Linked DNA regions of Stegostoma tigrinum. The protein of the gene in region 1 purifies or fractionates together with the protein of each later gene. This does not show direct contact. Links are inferred from orthologs where the notes say so. Each region holds a gene or a part of one and is shown on either strand. Other genes may lie near its edges.

The links.
Region 2: the proteins of eapp (region 1) and tssc4 purify together in Homo sapiens (affinity purification with mass spectrometry; 3 studies listed by BioGRID and IntAct, counting the BioPlex papers as one, with this or other methods). This does not show direct contact. The link is inferred for Stegostoma tigrinum from reciprocal best matches to the Homo sapiens genes EAPP and TSSC4.
Region 3: the proteins of eapp (region 1) and ecd purify together in Homo sapiens (affinity purification with mass spectrometry; 3 studies listed by BioGRID and IntAct, counting the BioPlex papers as one, with this or other methods). This does not show direct contact. The link is inferred for Stegostoma tigrinum from reciprocal best matches to the Homo sapiens genes EAPP and ECD.
Region 4: the proteins of eapp (region 1) and aar2 purify together in Homo sapiens (affinity purification with mass spectrometry; 4 studies listed by BioGRID and IntAct, counting the BioPlex papers as one, with this or other methods). This does not show direct contact. The link is inferred for Stegostoma tigrinum from reciprocal best matches to the Homo sapiens genes EAPP and AAR2.

What each region holds. Positions count from the first base shown.
Region 1 is NC_081372.1:57,947,239-57,955,221, forward strand, and holds the start of eapp (E2F-associated phosphoprotein), read right to left. Parts: upstream 3,002-7,983; 5' UTR 2,874-3,001; coding exon 2,803-2,873; intron 1-2,802. UniProt on the Homo sapiens protein: May play an important role in the fine-tuning of both major E2F1 activities, the regulation of the cell-cycle and the induction of apoptosis. Promotes S-phase entry, and inhibits p14(ARP) expression.
Region 2 is NC_081370.1:15,501,722-15,508,754, reverse strand, and holds the start of tssc4 (U5 small nuclear ribonucleoprotein TSSC4), read right to left. Parts: upstream 3,011-7,033; 5' UTR 2,774-3,010; exon of another isoform or gene 2,750-2,773; intron 2,704-2,749; exon of another isoform or gene 2,495-2,703; intron 1-2,494. Other genes in the region: slc22a18 (solute carrier family 22 member 18), read left to right, coding at 3,203-3,310, 4,083-4,208. UniProt on the Homo sapiens protein: Protein associated with the U5 snRNP, during its maturation and its post-splicing recycling and which is required for spliceosomal tri-snRNP complex assembly in the nucleus.
Region 3 is NC_081390.1:21,631,340-21,639,195, reverse strand, and holds the start of ecd (protein ecdysoneless homolog), read right to left. Parts: upstream 3,013-7,856; 5' UTR 2,893-3,012; coding exon 2,676-2,892; intron 126-2,675; coding exon 8-125; intron 1-7. UniProt on the Homo sapiens protein: Regulator of p53/TP53 stability and function. Inhibits MDM2-mediated degradation of p53/TP53 possibly by cooperating in part with TXNIP. May be involved transcriptional regulation. In vitro has intrinsic transactivation activity enhanced by EP300.
Region 4 is NC_081372.1:22,483,168-22,490,612, reverse strand, and holds the start of aar2 (protein AAR2 homolog), read left to right. Parts: upstream 1-4,434; 5' UTR 4,435-4,548; intron 4,549-7,060; 5' UTR 7,061-7,069; coding exon 7,070-7,445. UniProt on the Homo sapiens protein: Component of the U5 snRNP complex that is required for spliceosome assembly and for pre-mRNA splicing.

The DNA.
Region 1 (7,983 bases):
AGTTACATGGTCAACTGGGGACCTGTAGATTTTCTCCATAATGCAATTGGGGAGATGCTCAAATTCAAGGATTTTGAAAAGTGTAAATAAATAGATGCTATTTTTGGCAGAATGGTCAGTAATCAAAATGCACAATACCAAAATTGAAGAATCAGACATGAAACAATGAATTTCATTCCTCCAACACAGCACATTATTCTGGTTTGGAATACTTTGCCTGAGGATGCTGGAAACATTTTCAAATGGTACTTTTCCAAAGCGAACTGGATAACAATTTCAAAAACATCTGCGCAGCTTATACAGGGTCACATGTTTATTATCCTTCCTTATACCAGGCAAAGGAATAAACTGCATAACCTTTCAAGCCTGCTCAACTATTCAATATGATTGTGGCTTACCTTCTACTCAACCCCACTGTCTCATCCACCACCCATAACACTTAACTCTCCAAGAAATCTAAATTAAGTCTGTCCCAATCTTAAATATATGTGTAGTCCAGTTTACCAATCTCATTTCACAGAAACAAAATATAGGTGCAGCCCATTCAGCCTTTCAAACCTGCTCCAATCAGTATAATCTTGGCTGATTGCTTCAGTACCTTGTTCCCACTTTCTTTTCATACTCTGATCCCTTTAGTCCTAAGAACTATACCTATATCTGTCTTGAAGGTTTTCGATGTTTTGGTCTTAACTGTCTTCGGAGACAGAATTCCACAGGCTGACCACTCTCTGGGTGAAGACTTCATCTGGTCTCAGTCCTAAATGTCTTACGCTGTATTCTCAACTAGTGACTCCCTGGATGCTCTGGTCAACAAGAACATCCTTCCTGTATCTGCCCTGTATAATCCTGTCAGATTTTTATATTTTTCTAGATGATCCCTCATTGTAGTGACTATAATCCTAACCAATCCAGTCTCTCCCTGTATGTCAGTCCTGCCATCCCAGGAATGAGCCTTCTTTGCAGTACCTCAACAGCCAGAACATCCTTCGTCAGATAAGGAGATAAAACTGCACACAATACTCCTTGTGTTGTCTTACCAATGTTCTGTACATTTGCAGAAAGACATGCGTGGTTCCATACTTGACTGTTCTCACAATGAAGGCCAACATACCATTTGCCTTCTTCACTGCATTCTTAGTTTCAGTGATTGGTGTACAAGTACAGAGTTTACCCACTTCGCCAATTCATCACCATTCAGATAATAATCTACCCTTCCTGTTTTTGCTATCAAAGTGATAACTTATTGGCCCACATTCTACTACATTTGCCCAAAACACATTGAAGCATCTCTACATGCTTCTCACATCATACTCTACAATCTAGCTTTGTGTCATCTGCAAACTTGGAGATTTGACAACTTCCTCTCTAAATCATTAATATATATATTGTTAATATGAATCATTAATATATTGCATGATCATCCCAGGAGTAAGTCTTGGTGGATTTTTTTGTTGCACACGATGGCAATATTATCTTTCCTGTGATAAGTACCCCAGGTTTGATCTAACCAAGCTCCTCCACAATTAAACCAACACTTCACTATTCCTACACTCCCACAAACTTTACTAGCCTTGCTAATAACTCACTGCATCTACAGGCTAGCTTTTACTGATTTATCAATAAGGGTTCCTAATCCATTTGTACACTTACACTTTCCACTCTCTTACCGTTTAACAAATAGACTGTTACACCCACCAAAATGGAAAACCTTACATTTTTCCACATTACATCCCATGTGCCATGATTAGCCCATTGTGCAAATCCTCCTGAAATCAACTCACAATAAACATTCCACCTTAGCTTTGCATCGTCTGTAATTTTGGAAATATTCCCTTTGGTTACCAACTCTACATCATTGATATATATTATAAGCTCAGGCCCAAGTACTGATCCTGGTGGTAACCCTACTAGTCATAAGCTACCAATGAGAGAATGACTTGATTTACTCTCTTTTCTTCCTTTTAGTCATTAATCTATGCTAGTAGTTACTTCCTATCCCAAGTGCTTTAACTTTTCTAACTAACCTATTGCCCAACCTAATCATTATCAATCAGGTTAATAAAATGTGAGGCTGGATGAACACAGCAGGCCAAGCAGCATCTCAGGTGCTCCTGAGATGCTGCTTGGCCTGCTGTGTTCATCCAGCCTCACATTTTATTATCTTGGAATTCTCCAGCATCTGCAGTTCCCATTATCTCTCATTATCAATCAGGTGTCTATTTAATAAATCCCATCCCTAATGACAGATTCTAGTATTTACCTACCACTGATACAAAGCTGACAGGTCTGCAGTTCAGTTTTCTCCCTTGTTCCCTTCTAAAATAGTGGGGTGACATTTGGAATCATTCCAGAGTCAAAAGAAACTAGGAAAATAATAACCAAAATAGCAACTCTCTCTACAGACACCTCCTCCAACAAGTTGATGAAGCATCCAAAACTCATTGCAGGTCAGAATTCCATAAACTGTTAAGTGAAGAAATTTCTCATCAGTCCCAAGTTATTGGGCCCTTGTCCAGAGACTGTGTTTAGTTTCGAGCCAAATTTACATTTCTATCTTTACTCAGTTCTGGCGAAAAGTTATGTTGACCCGAGGCGATAAGTCCCTTCACAAATGCGGCCAGTCCTGCTGAGGTTCTAGGTTTGCATTTCAGAGTTGCAGCGACTGCAGTAATTTTGATGGGAACTCGCCCTCGGCTGCAGAGCAGCCTCGATAACCCGCGTAGCCTGTTCGCTCAGACCCCTGCTGCACCAACCTCGCTGGGTTTGGGAAACCCCAGCTTTGAGAGCCTCCCCACCCCTCACCTGGAACTCAGATCCTCTGGGTCACTCGGTTCCTCCACCAGATACGGGTCATCCTGCTCCTGGCGGTTCATGTTGGAGCCCGGGCCCGCCCCTCTCCTTTCACCCGAGCCCCGGGCCCGCTCCAAGGCCTCACTCGAATCGGGATTATCGACGCTGCCGTTGGACCCCCTAGGTCGCGTCACTAAAACGCGCCGCAAGGAGAGGGGCCTGAGTTACTTTTGGCGCTGACATATTACGCAATGAGCTTTCTGCACTAGACGCCGCCCTCTCCACTGACCCTCGTCCGTTGCAGTGAGACGGCCACCTGTTCTGGCTCCATCCATGTGCTGATCTTGGCCCCTGTCTTGCCCCTGCCCAGCCACTCGCCCGGTTCCCTGTCCTGGTAGCCCTAAGCCTTTGCCCGTCGCCAAGCCCCATTGATGAAACCAGCGCTGTCAATCTCAAACTGCGTCTGTGGTAACACTTTCAAGAGGAACAGAATCAAGAACAAGGGAAACTGTGGACTGATTAACTACTGAATCTAACCAGAAAACTATTTAAAAACAACAGGAAAGTGATAGGAAGGTACAGAAGCAGTAATGGAATATAAAAAAAACAGTGGACTGTTTCAGCCGAAGCATGTGGTCCACAACAATCACTGGAACTGGATTCAGAAACTTGCACAATGTGATGTATCGGGGGAGGTAAATTGTCAGAATACTCTGTTCCAGGAAGCAACCACATATTTTAGGCTACATAATTTAGATTTGACTTGTAGTGCAGGGACAGATAGGTGTGACTGTAAGAGAAGCAGATGCTACTTTGATTGCCGTCGTTTAAGAATTCCTTGACAGACTTTTCAGCACTTTATTATCCTTGTCCTGTAACTTCATGTGTTGCTGTTTCCACATTAACACTGCATCATCAGTTAGCTGTGCCATTATGTGACTGGTTTGCTTAGTTTTTGGCCATTTAACCAGGAAGCCAGATTTGAAAGGGTAAAAGAGAAACTCCAAATTGAAAAGAGAGGGACCCAGAGCTGAAAGGGAGGAGAGAGATAGTGAAACCCAACATTTAAAAAGAGAGAGATAATAGGAACTGCAGATGCTGGAGAATTCCAAGATAATAAAATGTGAGGCTGGATGAACACAGCAGGCCAAGCAGCATCTCAGGAGCACAAAAGCTGACGTTTCGGGCCTAGACCGAAGGGTCACAGTTTATTATATTTAAAAAGAGAGACCCAAAATTGAAAAGAATAGAACTAAACAGAAGGCTAAATCTGGAGGACACTAAAATGAAGCACCCATTCCGTAAGACCACAAGGCCATAAGATATAGGAGTGGAAGTAAGGCCATTCGGCCCATCAAGTCCACTCCACCATTTAAATCATGGCTGATGGGAATTTCAACTCCACTTCCCTGCACTCTCCCTGTAGCTCTTGATTCCTTGTGAGATCAAGAATTTATCAATCTCTGCCTTGAAGGCATCTAACGTCCCGGCCTCCACTGCACTCCATGGCAATGAATTCCACAAGCCCACCACTCTCTGGCTGAAGAAATGTTGTGTCATTTCAGTTTTAAATTTTCCCCCTCTAATTTTAAGGCTGTGCCCACGGGTCCTAGTCTTCCCGCCTAACGGAAACAACTTCCCAGCGTCCACCCTTTCTAAGCCATACATTATCTTGTAAGTTTCTATTAGATCTCCCCTCAACCTTCTAAACTCTCATGAGTACAATCCCAGGATCCTTAGCCGTTCATCATACGCTAAACCTACCATTCCAGGGATCATCTGTGTGAATCTCTGCTGGACATGCTCCAGGGCTAGTATGTCCTTCCTGAGGTGTGGGGCCCAAATTGGACACAGTATTCTAAATGGGGCCTAACTAGAGCCTTATAAAGCCTCAGAAGCACTTCTCTGCTTTTATATTCCAACCCTCTTGAGATAAACGACAACATTACATTCGCTTTCTTAATTACGGACTCTACCTGCAATGTTCTATGTTCTAAGACAGAAACTCAGAATTGAAAAAGAGAAAGAAAGAGAAACCCAGTGTTGAAATGAGAAGGTGCGAGTTCCAGCATCAAAATGGGAGAGAAACCCAGTGTTGAAGTAGAGAAAGAAAGACAGGGTACAGAAAGAAAAAGAATAAATATGAGCTACAAACATCCGTTGGTATTGAGCCTGAAAGAGCAGGAAGAACAACACCCAAAAATAACAGGTATCATTGATAGTGAGGAACGTTATCAAAATTGCAGAGGGATCTTGATCAGGTGGGGAAGTGGGTTGAAGATTGGCAAATGCAATAAAATACAGAAGTGTGAAGTGTGGCACTTTGGAAAGTCAAACCACGTTAGGATTTATTCACTAAATGGAATAAAGTAAATGCGTATATGGAATAAAAACAAAGTTGCTGGAAAAGCTCAGCAGGTCTGGCAGCATCTGTGGAGAAGAAAACAGAGTTAGCGTTTTGGGTCTGGTGACCCTTCCTCAGAACTTGTATGGAATATAACGTAAATGTCAGAGGAAGTGGTTGAGACAGGTACAAAAACAACATCCTGCCCCACTGATGTCAACTCCATTTTCTCCCCCTTGGTCCAGGAACTGCCCACCTACGTCCATGACACCACCCACGCTCTCCATCTCCTCCAGAACTTCCAATTCCCCGGTCCCCAACACCACATTTTCACTATGGACATCCAGTTCCTATACGCCTGCATTCCACATGCAGATAGCCTAAAGGCCGTCTGCTTCCTCCTGGCCCGGAGACCCGACCAGTCCCCCTCCACCGACACCCTCATCCACCTACCGAACTCGTCCTCACCCTCAACGTCTCTTTTGATTCCTCCCACTTCCTACAGACGAAGGGGGTGGCCATGGGTACCCGCATGGGCCCAAGCTATGCCTGCCTCTTTGTAGGTTACGTGGAACAGTTCCTCTTCCGCACCTACACTGGCCCCAAACCCCACCTCTCCTCTGTTACATTGATGACTGTATTGGCGCCGCCTCGTGCTCCCAAGAGGAGCTCAAACAGTTCATCCACTTCACCAACACCTTCCACCCCAACCTCAAGTTCACCTGGGCCATCTCCAACACATCCCTCACCTTCCTGGACCTCTCTGCCTCTATCTCAGGCAACCACCTACAAACCAATGTCCATTTCAAGCCCACCGACTCCTACAGCTACCTAGAACACACCTCCTCCCACCCACCCTCCTGCAAAAATTCCATCCCCTATTCCCAATTCCTTCACTTCCGCCACATCTGGTCCCAGGATGAGGCATTCCGCACCCGTACATCCCAAATGTCCTCGTTCTTCAAGGACCGCAACCCTCCCCCCGCCCCCGCAATAACCGCCAAAAGAGAATCCCCTAGTCCTCACATATCACCCCACCAACCTCCGGATACAACACATCATCCTCCGACACTTCTGCCATCTACAATCCGATCTCACCACTCTCCACGAGAGACCACTCTCTCTGCAACTCCCTTGTCCGCTCCACATCCCCTCCAACCCCACCACATCACCACTTCCCCCTGCAACCGCAGGAAGTGCTACACCTGCCCCCACACCTCTTTCACCCCCATCCCAGACCCCAAGATGACTTTCGACATCAAGCAGATGTTCACCTGCACGTCCGCCAATGTGGTATACTGCATCCGCTGTACATGGTGTGGCTCTCTCTACATTGGGGAAACCAAGCAGAGGCTTGGGGACCGCTTTGTCGAACACCTACGCTCGTTCACAATAAACAACTGCACCTCCCAGTTGTGAACCATTTCAACTCCCCCTCCATTCCTTCAACGACATGTCCATCCTGGGCCTCCTGCAGTGCCATAATGATGCCACCCATAGATTGCAGGAACAGCAACTCATATTCCACTTGGGAACCCTGCAGCCCAATGGTATCAATGTGGATTTCGCCAGCTTCAAAATCTCCCTTGGCCCCACTGCATCCCAAAACCAGCCCAGCTCGTCCCCGCCTGCCTAACCTGTTCTTCCTCTCACCTATCCCCTCCTCCCACCTCAAGCTGCACCTCCATTTCCTATCTACTAACCTTATCCTGCCCCCTTGACCTGTCCGTCCTCCCTGGACTGACCTATCCCCTCCCTACCTCCCCACCCATACTCGCCTCTCGACCTATCTTCTCTATCCATCTTCGGTCTGTCTCCCACTCTCTCCGTATTTATTTCAGAATCCTCTCCCCATCCCCCTTTTCTGATGAAGGGTCTAGACCCGAAAAGTCAGCTCTTGTGTGCTCCTAAGATGCTGCTTGGCCTGCTGTATGCATCCAGCTCCACACTTTGTTATCTCAGATTCTCCAGCATCTACAGTTCCCATTATCTCTGTACAAAACATTCAGATGGGAAGGATTTAGAGGGATATGGACCAAATGCAGTCCTGAGGAGTGTTGTGGAACAGAGGGACCTAGGAATACAAGTTGAAAGTGGTATCACAGGTGGACAGGATGGTGAGGAAGACTTTTAGCATGCTGGCCTTTATCGGTCGAGGCATTGAGTATAGGAGTTGGGACATTATGTTACTATGGTATAAGTTGTTGGTGAGGCTGCCCTTATGGTCACCCTGTTATAGGAAAGGCAGTGTTAAACTGGAAAGTGTGCAAAGAAGATTTACAAGGATGTTAGAGATAACGGGAACTGCAGACGCTGGACAATTCCAAAGTCGCTAGGTTGTACATGCTCAAAATCCGCAACAAGGTCCATACCGAGACAGCAACCTTGAGACGTTACCTCCTGCCTTACATGGAGTTGAGACCGGTTACCCCTCCCAGAGGGCCTGAAACGTCAGCTTTTGTGCTCCTGGGATGCTGCTTGGCCTGCTGTGTTCATCCAGCCTCACATTTTGTTGTCTTTACAAGGATGTTGCCAGGACTAGTAGGCCTGAGTTGTAGGGAGAGTTTGGCCAGGATAGGACTTTATTCCTAGGAATGTCAGAGAATGAGGGCTGACTTACTGAGTGTATAAAATCATGAGGGGGATAGATAGGATGCATGCATATAGTCTTTTCCCCAGTGATGGGGAATTGAAAACAAGAGGGCATAGTTTTAAGGTGACAGGGGAAAGATTTAAGGAGGACCTGAGGGGAGGCACGGTGGCTCAGTGGTTAGCACTGCAGCCTCACAGCACCAGGGATCTGGATTCGATTCCAGCCTTGGGCGACTGTCTGTGTGGAGGTGCACATT
Region 2 (7,033 bases), on another chromosome or scaffold:
TTGAATTTAGAAGAATGAGAGGACACCTTTTTGAAACACAATATTCTTAGGGAACGTCACATGGTGCATGAGAGGCTGTTTCTCCTTGTGGGAAGAGTGTGGGACTAGGGGGCATAATCTCAGAGTAATGGGATCCCCACTTAAGACAGATGATGAGAAACTATTTCTCTCAAAGGATAGTGAACCAATGGAATTCTTTACTGCAGAGGACAATGGAGGCTATGTTGTTAACTATGTTCATGGCTGAGATAGGCAGATTTCTCTTCAGTAAGGAAGTCAAGAATTGTGAGGATAATGTGAGAAAATAGAGCTAAGTGGGGTTGATTATCACATCAGGGATTTATGTCGAGGAAGAAGACCAAATGTTCTAAATAGCCTGTTGCTGATCCTACATCTTCTGAAGTTGAACCTCATGGTTTTTATGTCTAAGTTCAAGTTGTATCAAGTTTGGCCGGGTTATTCTTGCAGCAAAACCAAGTGAGTTTTCTCATTAAATTGTACTAAACTTAACATGTTAATTGGCATTTCAACCATCACAGCAAAAATCCTGTCAGAATCCATCCCATCTCACCACGGGCTGTTCCATGGAGATCCTCCCTAAGACTAGCATCCCTTGTGGTTGCTCCATTTTCCAAAGCTATCCTGTCAGTCATTGAAGTCAGGAAAAATGTCAGAGAGAGGGAGGCTGGCCACCCTTCTGAGAGAAACCTGGGGGTCTTTGTAGATTGAATGGTCAACAGAACAGCAGTCCTATTCCCAGGTGACCAGCCGAAGAGGCCACACCACCACACCATGCCAGAATGGTCAGAGATCACCAGATAGTCAATGCTTTCTCCAAAATAAGCAGGACTGGCTACAGTGCTGCCGGAAGGTGAACAATCTCCTCTGCTCTGACAGGGTAAGTGTGGTGCTTTGTTCTTCACTACCTTACACTTAGCAGACACCCTTGACTGAGGACTGCTGCACAGCATGGCCACCTGACTGGTTGTGAGACTGTGTCAGCTGTCAATTCAAGGCACTGTACAGTAAGACAAGGAATGCCAGTAGGGACCAGGGTGATTGCACGTGAAGGAAGCAAGGGAGCAGCCATGGACGATAGTTTAGTCTACAGCACGGAATGGGTTCCTGTCTCTCAGAGGTACCTGCATCCAATATAGGTGTACAGTGCTGCCAGTGTGTCCTGGTAGATAAACCTGCATTTGAGAATGCCAGGATGGTGGCAATGGCACCCTGAAAGTCAAGATCTACTGTACACGATGGAAGGGTACATAAGGGTGGTATTGGTGAATTGTGTCCTAAGGTACAGTTTTTCTATGGGCAAAACATAGGTCTTTTGCAGCAAGTAATGAACTGAAGCCATCTAAACCTACTCTGGTCGACTTTTCATGACAGCTAGTTTGTCTGGTAAGATTGCAACTCATTGCTATTGATAAATGATTTAAATAATTTCACCATGTTGTTTGACAAGACTGTACAAGATGCAGTGACCTTAACATTGAGACGGCCCTCAAAATCTCACCCGATTCCAAGAAAGATCTCATCACAGCCTGATAAAATTCAACCAAATTTGGCATTAAAACAGTAATGGAACATTTAGAAGGTCACAGGCAGGTCACATTATTAGAGTTCTGCATTTGTGCACCAGGGCTGATTCCCAAGAATGAAAGAGTTCTATCACAGAATGGTGTAGTACTTGGGCCTTTAGTTATTGGCAACTTTATTGAAACACGTGAAGATTCTAAGGAGATAGTAGGAACTGCAGATGCTGGAGAATCTGAGATAACAAGGTGTAGAGCTGGATGATCACAGCAGGCCAAGCAGCATCAGAGGAACGGGAAGACTGACGTTTCAGAAAATTTTCTGAGGGATCTAGGCCGGAAACGTCAGCCTTGCTGCTTGGCTCGCTGTGTTCATCCAGCTCTACACCGTGTTATCTAAGATTCTAAGGAGGCTTGACCGGGTAAATGCTCAGTGGAAGAATCTGGAAAGGGCGGGGGGGGGGGGATTGTGAAGTTTACTCATGCTTGGATTTTTCTATGGTATAGAGCAATGGAGGCCGGGGCACTAGTATACTGAAGGCTAAATTAGACAAATTAGTAATCTACAAGGGAATAATGTGACATAGGCAAGAATGTGAAATTGAGCATCCAGATCAACAAGATATTACCGAATGGCAGAACTGGTTCGGGTAACCAAAAAAATATCGCAGCCCTGTTCGTCTTTCTAACGGCTCTCATTTGCATGTTCTGCTAATACTCACTTCTCGGCTCTGTTGTGAGCGATGTCACTTTGATAAAACGACCAAGAGTGATCAAAGGCGATGATGGCCTGATGTCTTCTACACGGAAATGAGTTAGCACTACAGTAATAAGTTATAACAGTTGCTTTTTACGCTAGATTTCCAGACTTATTTGTTTCATGAAATATTCATATCTCCGCATGAAGATTGCGCAGTGTGTTCTGCTACATCTTTCAATCATTCCGTAATACTCACAAATTCCGAGTGGTGGACAAGATATTGTCTAGCTCCAAAAGCACAGCGGTTCTTTGTTCATTCAGTTGTGACTCTGAGTCCATATCCCTCTAGTCCCGATAATAGCCTAATTCCCAGATACTGACTCCGGTCTCTGCAACACCTTCTACAGGCCCATTCACTGACAACAAGCGCGCCACTACCCTGGATGCGTGATGGGAATTGTAGTCCTACAACTCTCGCTTCATCCTCGAGAACTACAATTCCCATCATACCGTGCAAACCATCTCCAATACTCACCATGGTAGCAACCGGCCAGTCTGCCAAGCGACGGTGATGAGCAGTTGCTCTGACGAATTAAGAGCGGAGGAATTGGTTTATTCCAATCGGGGTGAGGGAGAAGACGGAATTTTTTGTTGCTGGGCCACTTGGAACGCTAAGTGCGCGCTAAATATTGCATGCTACTGTTGGCAATGGCGGGACGGATAGAGGGATATTGAGTTGTTGTGTAAGCCTTCTGGGTGCCCGCGTTGTGGGATGGTTAGTACCGCCCCTCTGCTTTGTCCTGTTGGTTGGGATTCCCACCGGTCACCTGGTGCTGTGTGTCGGTACGGACACCCGCCCACCTTGAATTAGATGTTTATTCAGCCAGGCTGATCATAGAGGCGCAGGAGTTTGAGGTGTGCAATCACACAAAACAGATAGGAATCCTGCCTGCGCTTGGAGATCATGGCAATTCCAGAGCAAGGCAGTAAATCGGGATTCGTCATCCTGATAGCTCACATCAATATGGCTCTATATTCCACTTGCTTCTGGATCCAGACTGGGGTCGTGCCTGTGAGTAGTAATCTGCCTTTTACTGATAAATGATAAGTTAAAATGTAGTGGAGTGCCCTCGATTGCGTAATGTTCGGAGCTTGTCATATTAAGAACGACAATTTAAAGAAGTCTGCTGAATCACGAAACGTTAGAATTGCCTTGTGTGGTCTCATTCTAAACTTCCTTATCTTTAATGTTTCATGATTGAACGGACTGTCTAAGCTGCAAAGAATTTAATAACGTTTTTAAACCTGGGCACTGATCGTTGCACGAGCAGGAAGTACCGCGAAGTTTATTGAGTAATGCATCAAGAAGTGATTGAAATTTATGTAATAGTGTAGTAAACCAAGCTGTTCGACCTATCGTTCTTGAACCGGCTCTTTGAAGCAACTAGCTAATTGAACACACTCCTCCCCACTCCTGTTTTATTTCTTACCACACAGTTTTCCTCTTCCCCCCCCTAACTGCACCTTGTAAATTATTATTCATCGGCACATTATTCCAAACAAGGCATTCCAGGTCGTAACAATTGTTACACAACGTGGGAGGAAATTATTGCTAAAAATGCTGGAGATCACAGCCGGTCAGTCAGCATCAGAACGTTAGTTTGCTATCTCGCCACGAATTCTGCCTGACCGGCTGTAATCTCCAGAATTTTTTTTTTGTTTTCAGTAACAATTGTTAACTTGGTTGAAAAGAAATCTCAGTTCTATGAGAAAATTAAAAAGAAAATTAGCGGATGTTGAAACAAAAACTTGCTGAACAAACTCGGGTCTTTTTTTCTCCACAGATGTTGCCAGACCTACTGAGTTTGCCCGGCAATTTCGTTGCTTCCTTCAGTGCTCCTTTTGGTTCTTTTGCCGATTGCCATGCTCTCTTTGAGAATTTCGCTGTCATTTCTGAGACTTATTTTATTGTAAGTTTTTACACTGCCAACGTTAGGTCGATGGGCTCTCGCATTGCAGGTCTAGTGATAATGGGAACTGCGGATGCTGGAGAATCCAAAATAACAAAGTGTGGAGCTGGATGAACACAGCAGGTCCAGCAGCACAAAAGCTGAGATGCTGCTTGGCCTGCTGTGTTCATCCAGCTCCACGCATTGCAGGTCTGTTCCCTTCCCATGTTTTGATTAATGACGTAATCTTTTTAACACCCCAGTCTTCTAGCACGTCCTCCATACCCAAGGAAAATTGGAATTTCTGGTGAGGATCTCTGCAAGTTATATTTTGTTTCTTTCAGTTGCCTGCAGGAGCGAAAGTAGCCCATTCAGCCTCTCGAGCCAGCTCTGTCATGTAATAAGATCACAGTTGATTTGACTGCAATCTTAAATCCACTTTCCAGCCTATCCCTGATAGTCTTTCACCCTCTTGCCAGCAAGACTCTACCTACCCCGGCTTAAAAATCTTTATGGACTCTGCTTCCATTGCCTCTCCAAAGACTGGTGACTCTGGGGGGGAAAGATGCTTCATCTGTTTTAACTGACTGACCACCTATGTTTAAACAGTGACTCCTAGTTTTAGATTCTCCCACCAGAAGAAACATCTCTACAACTACTCTGTCAAGTCCTTTCAAGATCTTGTATGTTTTGATCAAGTTGCCTCTGTCTTGTAAACTCCACTGGATAAAAGCCTAGCCAGCCAATATTTTCTCATTAGACAACCTGCTCATTCCAGGCACTGTACTGCAACGGGTCTAGTAACGGCTGCTCTCTGGTTTGTACCAGAATGTGCTGTTCTAAGAATTTATCCCCTAAAATATTCTATGACCTGTTCTTGGCTTCGTCTGCCTCTGTGACTTTTCTAGTCTGTATCTAGATTAAAATTTTCTGTGATTGATGCTGTGCTTTTTGGACATAGTTGTCATAATTGATGTAGTTAATATTAGGAGGCCTGTACAACAATCACGCAAGTGACATCTTGCCTTTACCATCCTTCATCTCTTGCCAAACCATTTTCACATCTTAAAATTGGTTATCCCTGTCTATTACCATCATTAGCTAACAGAGTCATTAGCTAACAGAGATACCAATCTTGCAGCCATCTCTCTGGCTGTCAGATTGTATCTATTTTGTGTGCATTTGCAGTTCAATTTCTGTTTATTTATTGAAAATTGTGTGCATTAGATAGTGTGTTTAGTTTTATGCATGTTTCTAATCTCCAGCCTTATCTGTTAATTCACTGTTAGATTTGTAGTCTCTACCATTTCTTGAAGAAGCCTATTTATCCTTTCTAAAACTGATATCATTTTTGTGTCGTGAGTTCATTGATCTAGATATATCCAAATTTGATCCCTTCCTCATCATTTTTTTAAGCACAAATTACTCTCTACTTCCCTAGTTACATGGCTCAAATAACATCAACCCAGTATGGTTCAGGTGGTTACCCTGAAGTGCTGATACTACTTTCCCCAATATTGATGCCAGCTTCCCATAGACTAGAACCCACTTGTCTGACATCACTCTGAGCCATGCATTCATCTTCTAATCTGATTTGTCTTGTACCACTTTGTATGAGGTTAAGGTAATTCAGATAATCAGATCCCTAAACAAAATGACTTTTCTGAAACAAACATAAACCAAACTAACTGGAGAAACTTAGCAGGTTTGGCAGCATCTGCTGAGAGAGAGGCGCAGTTAATGTTTCAAGTCCAATGACCATTGATCAGACTAATTTGTTCTAAAGAAGGGTCACTGGTTCTGAAAAGTTGACTGCTTTTTTCCTCCACAGATGCTGCCTGACCTCCTGAGTTTCTCCAGCTATTTCTGTTGTTCACACCAAGATGACTTTTCTACTTCGAGTACTGTCGACCTTTTAGTACTTCTGCTCTATCTACTTCTCTACTACCTCCACCTTTGACGTCAATAGTACTATTTGTGATGACAGATGGAAAGGCTTCAGAAATCAGAATAAGGGCCCTGAACTGAAATGTCAACTGTCCTGCTGTTGTGATGCAGCCTGGCCTGCTGAGTTCCTCCAGCTCCACAGTGTTATCTCTGACTCCAGTATCTGCAGTTTTTCTGAAGAAGAGTCTGGGCCTGAAATGTCAGCCTTCCTGCTCCTCTAATGCTGCTTGGCCTGCTGCGTTCATCCAGCTCTACACCTTGTTATCTCTACTTTAAAGGTAGCCTGTGTATCATAAAGCCAGGGAGGTGATGGCCTAGTGGCGTTATCGCTGGATTGTTAATCCAGAGACCCAGAAAACATTCCAAATCCTGCCACCGCAGATGGTGGAATTTGAAGTCAATAAATATCTGAAATTAAGAATCTAATGATGACAATGGATCCATTGTAAATTGTCAGGAAAAGCCCTTCTGGTAATGTCCTTTAGGGAAGGAAACTGCCTTACCTGGTCGGGCCTACATGTGACTCCTGGCTCACAGCAAAGTGGTTGATGCTTAACTGCCGTCTGGGCAATAAATGCTGCCTAGCCAATGACACCTTCATCTCGTGAATGAATAAAGAAAAAAAACACCTCTTCAATTGGCAGAGAAGAATGAGAGATGAAGAAAGACACCTTAGTAACTGCATAAACAGAACAGAGAGAGATTCTGTGATTTCAAATATGACACTGGAGACCTTATTACTAGAGACTGAACTGTGAGATATTAAGGAGACAGTGAAAACAGTCCTGAAGAAGGTCACTGGACTCAAAACATTAACTTTTTCTCTCTACAGATACTGAAGACCTGCTGAGTTTCTTCAGTATTTTCTGTTCTTGTAACCTCTGAAGCAGTGAGAGTGG
Region 3 (7,856 bases), on another chromosome or scaffold:
TCTATACCTTGCCACTAAGTTTGGGAACTCTTTGGTGATTTGTTGAATGAGGTAGACAATCAACCATTCGTCATCCACATTATCACCAAAGTTTGTGACACCACCAACGTGAGCCGGAACATCTCCTAAAAAGAAAAGATTTGCATTAGCCTCTTAAAATTTAAGCAATGGTACATTAAATCGGCTTAGATCAGCAGGGTTTAGACTCAAAACAAAAACAACTCCTGATAAATCAGAGTACAAGTCATAGCAAAGGCATAATCACAAGAATTTACAAATGACAGAACATTGTTCAATTCACTGTCACACAAGCTTAGTTCAGGAGCTCAGATTATAAGTTTCTTTCATCTCTGTACCGTTGTATATTTGTCTAAAATGAGGCAGAATTTTCATCTCTCTTTGACACCACAGTGTGGAGGCCATTCAGCCATTGTCTACGCTGAACCATCAAAGAGCATCGCACCCAAATGCAGCTCTCCAACCTATCCCTGTAACTCCTCATTTATCAAAGCTAAGCCACCTAGCCTCTACATTCCTAGACATTACAGGGCAATTTAGCATGGCAAATCTACTCAACTTGTACATCTTTGGACTGCAAGTGGCAACCAAAGCATCTGGAGCAATGAGACACATACAGATACAGGGAGAATGTGCAAATTTCACACAGACATTTGTTCAAAGATGGAATCGAACCTGGGTCCCTGGCACTGTGAGGCAACAGTGTTAACCACTAGCCACCATGCCATCCTAACTTACTTGTCATCACTTACTTTAGGGCTTTTGTGGGATAGTGGTAACATTCCTATCTCTGGGTGAAAAAGTCCAGGTTCAAGACCCACTTGCACCAGACGGGTCATAACATGTCTGAAAGGTTAATTAAAAACATCTGTAATCCCATGGATAGCACCAGCTTCCTTGTGCAGTAACTGCAGCAAGACAACCATCACATGTTCAAAGGCTTGACACGCAGATTGTTGCCACAACAGGGGTCGTTCTCATTGAGTGATGTCTCTACAGTGTCCCCGCCCATCACCAAACCTCCACACACTGTTCACTTGACAGCTTAGATGGAAAATTCTGAAGGAATTTCTATTGTAGTTAACTTCCTATGGGAATCTTTAGAAAATGTTTTTGAGATGTAAAAGCTGATTATTACTTATCCCTCTAAGTTGGTGCCTCCTTGAACACCTGCAGTCCATATTGTGCAGTTCTCTCACAGTGCTGTTAGGGAAGAAGCTCTACAATCTTGACTTAACGGTACTGTAATTCAGAAAACTTGCAAATGGCAATGTTCCCAAGTCATCTTAGTCCCAGAGGATAGTAAGGTGCTCTCTCATCTGAGGGAGAGAGCTGTTGGTGACATTAACCTGAGGGTCACCATGCCTCAGATAAGATTGCCCAACCACTGGGACCTAATGACAACCTCAGCTGAAACTGAAAATGTACCTACATTGTTGGCTCACTTTGCATCATAAACTACTGGTTTGCTAAACTAACTGACTCCCTACCATTCATCACTGCGCTGGTTCCAGATAGTAGAGATACTGGGTTTGGAAGGTTCCATTGGGAGAGCACAGATGGATTGATACTGTCCATCTTGTAGATGATTCACATTGGTACTGCTGTCACTGTGGATAGAGGGAGTAAGTGTTGAAGGCAGTGAATGAGCGTACAGACCCCACCTATACTCTCTCCACCTATCTTCTTTTCTCTCCATCTTCAGTCCACCTCCCCCTCTCTCCCTATTTATTCCAGTTCCCTCTCCCCATCCCCCTCTCTGATGAAGGGTCTAGGCCCGAAACGTCAGCTTTTGTGCTCCTGAGATGCTGCTTGGCCTGCTGTGTTCATCCAGCCTCACATTTTATTATCTTGGAATTCTCCAGCATCTGCAGTTCCCATTATCTCTCTCTCCTCTACAGACATTCATGTTGGTTAGCTCTGTTGGACAAATGGCTGTTTGCTATCTTGAGCGATGCCAACAGCACAGCTTCAATTCCCTAACTAGCTGAGTTTACAACGAAGGAGTCTTCATATCAATGTCTCCCTTTGCATGGGGCATGGTGACCTCAGGTTAAACCAACTACAGCACAAATGCAGCTCCGTCCACATTTCACATCAGCTCCATTGAAGAGTCATCGAGACTCGAATCGTTAGCTGCTCTCTCCATGGATGCTGCCTGAGCCACTGCGATCTCCAACATCTGTTGTCTTCAAACCACTACCACCCTATGGTCCCGTAGGTCTATGGCAACTTTATTTTATAATAAATATAATTCACATTTAAAGATAGTAAGAACTGTTGATGCTGGAGTCTGAGATAACAGTGTGGAGTTGGAGGAGCACAGCAGGCCAGGCAGCAGAGGAGCAGGAAAGCTGACGTTTCGGAACGGGATCCTTCTTCAGAAAAAGACCCTTTTTCCGAGTCCCCTGCCTGGCCTGCTGTGCTCCTCCAACTACACACTGCGCTAATTCACATTTCTGTGGCTCTGCATCCTAGCACGTGTATGGAATTGTACCATTAAGCGTGACCTAATTACATTTATCACCATTTGATATCAGATTTAATGATATAACTTCTAACAATGATATAACGAGAAGTGCTCAGGCACAGAGCCACAAACTGGCTTGCACGGGAAGAAAGGCATGCGTGGATACCAGAGGGGGCCGTGTACTCACCCCGGGCCGGCGTGTATTGCAGCCTGAAGGCCTCATTGTGCCAGATGTAACCGGCACAGAGCGGGGCCAGGCTGCCGACGATCTTCTCCAACTGCTGCTCCAACCGGGCCCGGGGATCGGGATCAGACTGAAGAGCCTCGCCGCCAATCTCATAAAGCCTGTAGCCGACTGTGTCCTGCGGCCAGTCACGACGCCGCTCATCTACCAGCGACTCCATGGCCCGTCAGCCCTCACTTAATGCCTTCTCCCACCCGGGACCGGGTCTGTCACCTAACGGCTTTCCCCCCGACCTGGAACGTCACTGAACGGCTTCCCCCACCGACCGGGTCCGTCACTTAATGGCTTCCTCTAGAATGCGATCACGTGGTCCGTCTCAGTGACGCCACTCTGTCACTGACGTCGCGATGTTGTTCAAATTAAGTAACGTGATGTTTTAGTCTTAAACCTTGCTTAAAAATAAAACCAAAGTTTTACCGGGTTGTTATCAGTTGCCGACTACGGTAGAGAGGACAGTTCTGTTGAGGAAGAAGGTGGGGATGTCTGAGCTGTGTGTGGGAGATGGAACAACCGCCAAGTGAACCTCACCTCATCCTAACAACATCATGTCGGGATGTGGTCTCTGTTTCTGTCCAGTATGCAACATTGTGCAGCAAAGTTCTCGACCAACCTACACCATCTTGTGCTTATCAATTTACTCTGGGCAATTTACAGGCAATAGAAATATTAACCAATTGAACATTTTCTTGATGGAGCGCATGTCATAGGTGGAAGGAGTATTTGTAATGTCAGGACTGCAGACCCTGTCCACTAGTTATTTGCATTTTATTTATGGACTAGGTGTGGCCACTGGACCTTTATTAATTTTAATAGTTATTTTATTGTACTTGTGTAAAGTAATTTCCTTAAGTTTTACCTGCAGCTATGTATCTACTTTTCCTATGTATAATCTCTGAACTCTGCTCTTGCCTCTTAAAGCATAGAGCAAAATTTAGACCCTCATGCATTTGTTAAACATGGAGGCTAAAAGGTCTGTTGTTCTTATGGCATTTGTCACGGTGATATGTAGCCAGGGAACATCTTCAGGTAAGAAATTCATCAGAGTTCTAAATGGTGAATTAGAATGCAGTGATTTGATTGTAATGTTCAAATTGCAACTCTGGCCTGTCAACCAGAAATTCTCCTGGATAAAAGCCAAAGACATGAACATAATCACAAATCCTTTGTAGACAACCATTACTATGTTTATATTTTAGCTGGGTACCTGGATTGAGGTAGAGACAAACTGCAGATGCTGGAAAAACACAGCAAGCCAGGCAGCATCTGGAGGAAAAGAGAAGTCAACATTTTCGTCATTATCCTTCTTCAGGATTGAATGTGGGAGTGGGGGTAGCTGCAGATAAAGGTGGGGGGAGGTGAGAGGGTAGCGGAATGGTGGTGATAGGTGGACACTGGTAGTAGGCATGGTATGGTTGGTTGATGGGAGTGCTGAATCCGGTTGGTAGCTGGAAGGGAGAGTTGGCATGTGGAATAGAGAGGAGGTAGTGGGGCTGGAAAGGAGGCTTGGGGATGGGTTGGAAGGTTATTTGAAATTAGAGAATGAATATTAAGTCTTCCGGGCTGAAGGGTGGCCGGGTGGAAGATAAGGTGTTGTTCCTCTAATCTGAGCTCTGATTCACTGCGACACTGGAGGAGGCTGAGGATGGACATGTCGGAGGGGAAGAGGGTGGATTGAAATGGGCGGTTCCTGGGAAGTTAGGCTTGCCGTTTCAGGCCAGGCAGAGATGCTCGGTGAAACAGTCACCGAGTCTATGTTTGGTTTCACCAAAATTGGGAGCACCAGATGCGGTAGACTAGGCTGGAGGTGATACAGGTGAAAACTGTCTCACCTGGAAGGATTGTTTAGGGCCCTGGATAGAGACGAGGGATGTGGTATGTGGGCAGGGTGTTGCACCTTTTATGGTTACAGGGAAAGATACGGGGGTCGGCGGGGAGTGGGTGGTGTTGGAGTGGTTGGTGGGGAATGTGGCATGAACTAAGAAGTGGCAAAGGGAATGATCTTTGCAGAAGGCAGAGAGGGTTTGGGAGTGGAAAGTGTCTACCTAATGCCACCATACCCCTATCACCATCCCCCTTATCTGCACCTCCTCCAACCCCCATATCCAATCCTGAAGAAGGGTAATACCCAAAACGTTGACTTCTCCATTCCTCCACATGCTGCCTGGCTTGCTGTGTTCTTCCAGCCTCCTGTTAGTCTATCTGGATTAAGGTGGATATGCCTGTTATGTGGCATTGAACTTGAACATCAAAATGTTGCAAGGTGTGCTGTTTAGTTTCTACAATGCTGAAAGCTAATGTTTATAAGATTGCTTAGAAAAAAACATGTTGGCTTAGTCAACTGAGAAGAGAATATATTACTTAGAATATATGTGTGTGAAAATCTTTGTTTTGCAGAGAGACAAGCACTTAAGTAATTGAACCATGTTAGTGTGTGATCACTCCACATTCAGGCGGATCATGACATGCTCACATATTTTGTGATAATTGAGAAGAACCCAAATCCACTGCTGCCAGTTGTTTATTGATGAGTTACTGTCTTTATACCTTGCAGGGATTGAGCATGATTTGGTGTTGAGTCAAGTCTCCGGTGGTATGCTGCTGATAGGCGATTAGAACCTAGTTGAATTTTTGTGAAATGTGACTTAAACATTAACCTGCCATAATGCAAAAAAAAAGTTTACCTCGTTAGGGTAACAGGACACCAATAAATTATCAGGGACTGATTCTTGTGCGGGCAGCATTGGCAATCCTCCAGGAGAAATGGTAAAAATTCATTAGAAGCACACTGACAAAGACAGAGTGTCTAATAAAACTTCTCTCAAAGAAGAAAAATCAGCAGGAGTGATGAATGAACTACATGTAAGGAATAATAGCCACAGATCAAAATAAATAGTTAGTTGGAGGACGATAAATGGGCTATGATAGTTGATTTTTACTTTTTGAATCTGTAATTTAAACATACTTTACATTTCCCTTCTTGCGTAAAGGTTGTCTGTGAAATGCATTGTTTTGTAGCAAAGAACAGTACAAATGTTGTCATTGCTACTCTCAAATTTGCTGATAAGCACACTGTTGAAGTAGGTGGTAAAAATAATTGTTGCATTAATTAGCAGCTGAAACAGTGCATCCAGCTTATTGACAACCAGAAACAAAAAGTATTTATATTTATATAGCACATTTCCATAATCTCAGGATACCTCGAATTATCTATTGAGATGCTTGCACACTAAGTAGCTGCTTTGAAAACATTATGCCCCAATATTTTATCTTTAACATCGACCATGGATAGTTTTAGAACATAAATAACAGCACCTTCGACCCCTCAGGTTTGTGTTTTACAGCCACTTTTGAGGTGTAGACTTGCTCAGTAGCTATTTCACTTGTGCATATAAACTGGCGCCTATTTAAACTATGGTATGGTTGAGTTAGAAGATATGACCTTATACTTTTTCATGCTGTAAATAAGTGTTAGATTGAGTAAATAAAGATTAGATCATGTGTTATCTTTTGTCAAGTAGCTTTTTTAAAAATCGAACAGCAATTGAACTACATTGGACTGTTTAATGCGGCTTGAGCTTCTTATCTCAATATTAAAGGGATAGTGCTTACCATCTGAGCAAAGCCTGACATTTAGGTTTGAGAATGTTATTGACACTAAGGGCTGAAACAGCTCCCTTCTGCCTCACAATGGGTTTGGTTACCATTATTGCTGGTGTAAGAGATTTTCGAATGGATTTGTAATGGGCTATTTAAAGGGACAATGCATTTAAATAATTTGCGTCTGTATAAGCTAAAAGTTGTTTTATATAATATAGTTGTTATTGGAGTTCAGAGAATTGTTGGAACAGAGAAAGGGACGCGATTCCTTGGGTTAAGAAATCATAGTATGGAAGAGGTAGAGTCAGCATTGAGGGAGACAGGAATAATGGTCGCAATAATAATTATACGTGTTTGAAATGTTATGGCTCAAATGTATTTACTGTCTCCATTTTAAGCCACTAGTAATTGTATCAAAGAGTCAATTCTGCCTGATGCAGCAGATTCTGTTCGCCGCCTTGTGCAATATTTTGAAGGTTGCAGATTTTTAAGTTCGAAAGATTTCAAGCAGACTGTGAACTAATGGTCACCCTTGTAAACAGTGCATAACAAAAAACACAAAGTAATATTGACTCTTTGCTCTTGCACATACTCCCTTCTACTCCTTTATGCACTAATGTAAAATATAGCTTACTTATTGCCCATTCTACAGTTGTGGGGATAAGAAAATGTCTTCTGTTCTTAAGAACACTGAAAGACCTGTTGTCTACTCCTGATTATTCTATTTTAATTTATAGCTGAGATCACACTGGGGAATTAAAGTTCAATATCTTTATATAATGAAACAAAACTGGGCCACCTTAGACTGAGGGCAAAGAGAACATGAATACAGCTTTCACCTTGATATGTTTGAATCTTGCATGTTGTCTGCTGTAAGAATCCATGGTTAAGACTGGTCTTCCCTAGCTTCCAGCTGAAGGATGACATGCTGATGAAAGGAAATGGAAACACAACGAAAGGAGAAGTGACACTTTGCGTTTCTTTTACTTCCTGGTAGCCGCAGAACTACAGATCAATCAAGCCTTGATTACTCTGCATAACACCTTGAGCCAACACAATGTCAGCGTTCTCTACTTGTCTGAATATTGCTACAAGGTAAGAAGGTGTTCACCAGTGCATTTTAACCATAACATCTATTTAAGGTAATATCTATGTGGAGCATTTACCTAGCTAGCAGTGATTTCTTAGAGCAGAAAATTGCTTTCTGAAGTGACATGGACTACCATTTAATGTATTTGGGCTACATTTCACCTTGCACTGTTTTAGACAGTCTGTAACTCATGTAATGTTTGGAAATCCTACCTATAATATGTATTGGAAATAATCTGTTACTTAGACAGACCTTCAACTACCCCACCAATATGCCAGCCAATGAGTTGGGACACAAAGTTTTCATTTATTCATAAACTACTGCAAAATGAATCTCTAATGCAAATGTTTGAACTGACAGTGTGTCTGAACTCATGAACAAAACTGTAGACATCAAAGTCTCCGATACGGTCCAATGGTTCTATTTTAAAATAATGT
Region 4 (7,445 bases), about 35 Mb from region 1:
TAGGTTGCCCAACAGAGAGGAACGGCCAATAGTATGTACATCCAGGACTTTGGCTAATGTAGAGCTTAAATATGCCCAACTAGAGAAGGAAGCTTTGGCGGACATACTTGGTGTCAGGAAGATCCACCAATACCTTTACTGAAGTAAGGTTCTAATAATAATAGACCACAAACCCCTGGTAGGTCTAACAAACAGGACAAGGCAGTGCCGCCCAAAGCTTCAGGCTGAATTCGGCATTAGGCTCTAATACTAAGTGCATATAATTACAAGTTGGAACACTGACCAGGAGGCGAAGTTGCAAATGCGGGTGCATTGAGCTGCCTCCCACTGGCAGATATATTAGCCTGTTTTAATACCAAACTGTTCCTGTTCTATTTCATTATAAGTCTACCCCTCAGGCAACTACAGTGATAGCTCCAGCAGAGTTGCAAATGGGAAAATGACTCCATACCAGGTTAAATTTGATTCACCCGGATCCGGGAGGGAGGGTGAAATGACATCAGGAATGTTAGCGCTGGACACATGACTCTGCTAAGCGAGAGAGGAAGTTTACCTCAGGTGATGAAGTTTGGAGTAGGAGATACAGGATTGGTCCTGCACTGGTAAGCGGCATGGTCGATGCAAGGTCAGGTCCAGTGATGTGTAAACTTTGGGCAGGTGCAACAGTCCTGAACAAACATATGGGGACTGTATGAAAGCTGCAAACTCAAAAACGGAGCAAGATGTGCCTGCCTCCTGGGAACAGGCAGAAAGGCTGGAGGAACCCACAGATTCTCCCTGTCCATCAAGCATTGAAGATTCTTCGGAATCTGAGATGGATAAGGTGGATATCACCACCTCAAAGTCTTTGCTGCCTCAATAGGAGAGTAAATTTCTTCCAAGGTTCTCCAGGCCCAAGAGGCGTGTTACTGTGCATCACATGCCACCTGTATCTAAGACAGAGTCAGTGGAACCTGACCTGGCGCTAAAATGCCTCAGGAGAAGCTACAAAAAAATGAACTGGCCTATGTCCTTAGATTCAGAGGGGGAGGGATACAGTGATCCCAACAAGAGGTGCTCTAATTTTACAAATGCAGGTGCAATCCTCCACCTAGTGGTGGCAGTGCCACAAATACAGCCTTTGCACCCAAGATGGTTTTATTTTAAAATCAACCGGTTTGGATGTTTTATGTTAACAAAGTGTGAAGCTGAATGAACACAGCAGGCCAAGCAGCATCTCAGGAGCACAAACGCTGACGTTTCGGGCCTAGACCCTTCTGAAACGTCAGCTTTTGTGCTCCTGAGATGCTGCTTGGCCTGCTGTGTTCATCCAGCTTCACACTTTGTTATCTTGGATTCTCCAGCATTTGCAGTTCCCACTATCTCTGGATGTTTTATGAGACGCCTTTTGTGGTAGGTGTTGAAATCGGACCTTCTGGGCATAGTTATACGGATACTACCAATGTACCACAAGAGACCCTCTAAGATAGTTTATGTTATGCTTGCCTTGTATTCAGACTACTCAAGCAAATGACCGGGAGCACTGGCAACATAAGTGCTACCAGCTTTGCACTGCTGATAACAGCATCCATCCCAATACATTAAAGAGATATTAGGGATTATTACAGGTTCATGAAAATGTTTCATAAGGCTCTTTTATTTGAGCTTGATTCTCCCTTTCATTACACAAAACATCTATGTTGGGGTATATAACAAATTGTGGACATAATGGTTTATTAAAATTAAGATTTTCCATTAATCCATTGAAGTCTATTAATACTGCATGCTTTATTTGGACCAAACAATAATTGTGACATAATTGTTAATTGTCCTGAATAAGGCATTAATACTTCAGCTATTCTGTGTTAATGCCAATTGTTAAATAAACCAATTAAAGACAGGCCATAATGCAAAAAATAAACTGCCCAAGATTATTTAGAAAATTTGAAAAAAACAATAAGATAGTAAGAGTGAATATCTTTTCAAATGTTTACTTTGTTCTTCTGAAATCTTGAAATCAATCCTGTGCAAAGTCCTGACATGTTGTTGAGAAAGCTGAAATGCATGTTCACATTACAAACCAGTTAAGACCTGCAAGAACACAAAGTGGAATTTCAGCTGAAGAACTGAAGATGATGGGGCAGAAATTGTCGTGTCAGTGTCGATTGGATTCAGAGATAGTAGGAACTGCAGATGCTGGAGAATCTGAGATAACAAGGTGTAGAACTGGATGAACACAGCAGGCCAAGCAGCATCAGAGGAGCGGGAAAGCTGACGTTTCGGGTCAACACCCTTCTTCAGAAATGGGGGAGTGGAAGGGAGTTCTGAAATAAATAGGGAGAGAGGGGGAGGTGGATAGAAAATGGATAGAGGAGAAAATAGGTGGAGAGGAGACAGACAGGTCAAAGATGCAGGGATGGAGGCAGTAAAGGTGACTGTCGATGGGGAGTTAGGGAGGGGAAAGGGCAGTCCAGGGTGGACGGACAGGTCAAGGGGTCAGGATGAGATTAGTAGGTAGGAGATGGGGGTGGGGCTTGAGCTGGGAGGAGGGGATAGGTGCGAGGAAGAACAGGTTAGGGAGGTGGGGACAAGCTGGGCTGGTTTTGGGATGCGATAGGAGAAGGGGAGATTTTGAAGCTTGTGAAGTCCACATTGATACCATTGAGCTTCAGGGGTTCCAAGTGGAATATGAGTTGCTCTTCCTGCAATTGTTGTGGCATTGCAGGAGGCCCAGGATGGACATGTGGTTTGAGAAGTGGGAGGGGGAAGAGTTGAAATGGTTTGTGACTGGCAGGTGCAGTTGTTTAGTGTGAACCGAGCGTAGGTGCTCTGCAAAGCAGTCCCTAAGCCTCTGTTTGGTTTTCCTGTTGTAGAGGAGGCCACAACGGGTACAGGAGATGCAATATACCACATTGGCAGATGTGCAGGTGAACATCTGCTTGATGTGGGAAGTCTGCTTGGGGCCTGGGACGGGGGGTGAGGGGGGAGGTGTAGCACTTCTTGCGGTTGCAGAGAATAGTGCCGTGTGTGGTGGGGGTGGAGGGGAGTGTGTAGAGGACAAGGGAGTCACGGAGAGAGTGGTCTCTCCGGAAAGCAGGTAAGGGTAGGGAGGGAAAAATGTCTTTGGTGATGGGGTCGGATTGCAAATGGCGGATGTGTTGGAGGATGATGCCTGAAACGTCAGCCTTCCTGATCCTCTAATACTGCTTGGCCTGCTGTGTTCATCCAGCTCTACACCTTGTTATCCTTGATTGGATTCAATGTTGGTGCAGCATGCTGACCAACAGTATACTGACATTCTCCATACATTGATGTAGGGTCAGACATGATCAGCCACTCTAGGATGGACAAGACCTATGGAAGATCAAAAGCTAGTCAGGTTGTGCAAACAGCAACACCAGTAAAGTGGTAGGTTCTTTGAAAGGCCCTAACAGAGAACACAATCTATTTTGATTTTTTGCAGCAAATGGGTCACAAGTTTTCATTTGGACATATTCAGGTGATTTGTCTAGAATTTTCCTATCATTAATGCCCGCCACAATCTGGCACTCTCAATAATTTAACAACTGCGGTGTCGAGATTGGATTAAAGCAATATCCCAAGCATTTTATTTATTACTGTCACATGGACCTGATTACAGTGAAAAGATTTGTTTTGCAAGCAGTACAGGCAGATCGTAACAAAGAAGGACAAATGAATCATAGGGCGCTTAGAGTTACAACTGCTCAAAGGTGCACAAAAGTAAGGACAACATTAGATTTGAAATTAAAGAGGTCCATTCAGCAGTCAAATACCAGCAGGGCTGAAGATATTCTTTAATCTGCTGTGTGTGTTCGGGGTTCTGTATCTTCTGCCTGAAGGAAGAGCTTAGCTCTGAGGAGCTTACAATATAGGGACAATCAACAGGGAAAATAGGCACGTCTATGAAGTTTGTCGGTATCAGAATTGGGAGGAAGAGCTGGTTTAAGTAAAGATCGGTGAGTTACAAGTGCAGGCTGTCATGTGGAATCGTGGTGTTGTGGCAGTAACAGTGACCTGGCAGAAGGAAGGCCAGGACTGTGTGTTAAATATCCTGGATACAGGCTGTTGAGGTGTTACATTAAAGGAGTTTTTCAACCATTATGCTGCAATATTCTTCTTCCTGAGAAGTGTATTCGTTATTTATTCAATATTACCATATTACCTTCAAATAAAAGACTTAGTGCAATAATACTTTGCCTGGAGAGAACTTTGAACGAGTGGTTTCCATGGGGGGAAGATAATAAAACAAAAAAAAACTTTATTTCCATTCAATAGATTAAATAGTTTGGTTTACAATGGGGTTAAGGCGCTGAATAGAACATCACCTTCATTCCTTGTAGAAACGAATTGACTTGGAAGGTCTGCATGAGCTGAGAGTGAGGGCAGTGTCAGGGGCGGAACCATAAGCTCAGGGACCGGTTTGTGCTGGTGCGGCTGGGGACGGTTACATTGACGGACCGGAAGGGGTCCGGTATGTATTTGGTGTTGCTCCAGCAGTCTGCCGGTTGGTATCGCAGGGAATTAAAGCTCAGGGCTGAATGAACGAAGGTGAATGGGGTTCAAATTCTCTCTCTCTCTCTCTCTCTCTCTCTCTCTGTCTGTCTGTCTGTCTGTCTGTCTGTCTGTGGGTGAGGGGGGAAAGAATGTGAGAGGTGGGTGTGAGGGAGGGGAGGCGCCTAACATCAACTGCATTAGACACAGCTTTCACTAAACCTTTACAGCATAATAGACTGTAATAAAGGTCATAAATAGTGACTTTAAGAAAAACACAAGAAATTCATAACAATTCGTACAGCTCCAGATTATCTTCTTGTTACTAGATTGAGGGATTTAGTTTTAATTGCAAACTCAGATTCAGCATAAATGTCTGAGCTAATCTATTCTTTCCTTTTCCCAGACTCTAGCCAGTGATGATAGTGGGAGTATCCAGTCAGTTGTTGGACATGTTCAGTCTTATTCATCCTAACAATATGGCCAAAATATTTTAATTTGTTCCCTTAAACCCCCTGCTTTAGTTTGAATTTTTAAATTACTGTATTTCTTTTAAATTGCTGTTATTTTTAGGGCTTGCCACATTGTGAATAATATCGTGAGTCAGGTCTTATTTGATAGCGTTAGAAATGCAGGTCCATTTAAGGGGCAAACTGAAATAACTCTAGAGTACATTGAGACAGTAGGTGTTCTTTGTCTTTAAGAGCTTAGTTCTTTTAGCCTCTCGGTCTTTCTCTACCAGTCTCACCTTTGGTGGTCCACATTGAATGAATAACTGGAAACAAGGATAACTTAGGGATGGTGGATATTGGGTGGAAGGTCTCACAGGTGATTTGGTGGTGGGAAAGAAAAACATTCAGTTGTCTGTGATAATTCCAGATATTAAAAGAAGAGCTTGGATTCTTATTACGGGTCCTGTGTTCAAAGTGTAGTGTCTGTATCTCTGGGCTAGGTGGCTTGGGTTCAAGGCTCAACTGCCTGAGATGTGTCATTAACATATCTGAACAGATTGATTTTTTTTCAACAAAAAGCTTGGTTTTTCATACCTTATGGAGAAAAGGCAGAAAAGTGGAGCTGAGAATTATCAGATCAGCCATGGTCTTGTTGAATGATGGTGCAGACTTGATGGGCTGAATGGCCTACTTCTCCTTCATGTTATCATCTTAAAGTGGATAGTTGGTTTCTGGATAAAGAACTGTTGGTGTTAAACTATAGGTTTGTAATTAAATGCTTGCACAACTATGATAGGTTTTTGCTACCTAATTCAACATCAGGATATTTTTCTGTGGAATTTTATTGCCTTTGGCTTGGCAAAATCTACTACTTGTATGCCCTGTAGCACTTCATAAAGTCTTTGATAATTTGGTTGTGTGTTTTAGCAGTTGCGTTTATGCTTTCTTAATAATATCAATGAATGTATGTATTCTGTTTTCATGGTTGCAATTTACCTGACCTTTCTCAGCAAACTGCCTGAGAGGAATAAACATGCAAGTGACTATGGTCTTTCCTAGTTAGTTAATTGCATAAGTACTCTAAGCAAGTAGCTAGCCATTTGTTGAAATGATTTTGGCATCAGTGAGCAGTAGCAATTTTGATAGAACTTTTAACCAAAGTATAATGTTTTTTTCACAGTCTATGTAGTTCATTTATCTTCACAAAAATGTCGGTTTTAATTTATTGATGATCTTCATTCTTGTGTAAAAGAACAGATTGAAGCATGTCAGATTGCTTAATGCCTCTGCCTGTAAAGTTATTCAGAATGTTGTCCCTAGGAATTGAATCACATCTTACACGCACATGCAGCCTTTGTGCAGTTATGCTGCAGCATCTTAGTGCTGATAGAGCTATGGATTCAAAACAACTTGTTAAGGAATTTGAAATGGGATCAGCTTTGGCCTAACCAAAGGCATTGTTTGATTCATTAAGTTTTCAAAGGATGCTTTAAAGATGAAAGGTGGGAATAATTGAGACTGATTTAGAAAAAGAATCTGAATGGCAAAGGAGTTTCAGAGTAAACAAAAGCCATCACTGATCTACTGTGAGGAGTGTGGGGAATGAACAAGAATCTAGGTAGGGAGCAAATGATGTGGGCAAGGATATTGAATTAGTGGATATTTCCCAAGCAGGCTGGAGGAAAGCTTTGGAAGAATTTGATAAAGGGACAAAATCCATTAGGTAAGATAGAAAGTGGCAGGGATCTGGTGAGGTTAAAATGGATAAGATGCTATTTATGTGGCGCAGGAGCTAATTTATACTAGATTAATTTTGTGAAGAGAGGCCAGCTGAAAGAAATTCATTTTTGAGGTAACCATGTGTGAATGAAGGTTGTGGAACAAAATGGGTAGGATTACTTTAAAGTGTGGAATTGAGAATTATGAAAATAAAAAATTGCCTAAAGCAAAATTAATGCCAGCTCATAATAGTGGTAACTTAAGGTGCTATGTAACAAGCAATATTGAATGCCGTTAATGGCCGTAGTTCTCTATAATGTAAGATCTTAGTAGTTTACGTAAATTGGATGTTGATGTGATGTTTAACTAAGTTCTTCTCTGTCTGTTTTGGAATACAGGCCCAAAATATGGCTACTGTGGAAATGGATCAAGAACTGGCGAAAAAACTGTTCTTTGAAGGAGGCACGCTTATAATACTTGGTGTTCCTGAGGGCACAGAATTTGGCATTGATTATAATTGTTGGCAAGTGGGCCCCAAATTTAAAGGAGTGAAGATGATCCCACCGGGAATCCATTTTATGCATTGCAGCCCTGTGAACAGCAGAGATATTCGGATAACAGGACCACGCACGGGTTGTTTCTTTCATATAAAACAGAAGGAAGTTCTAGTGAAGCGATGGGACAAGAAGGAAGAAGAAATAGTTTCAGTTGCAGTTTCGGAAGAAGAAAGAGAGCAGATAAGAGAGAATCTGACTGAACTGGACAAATGTTTAGGACCATATC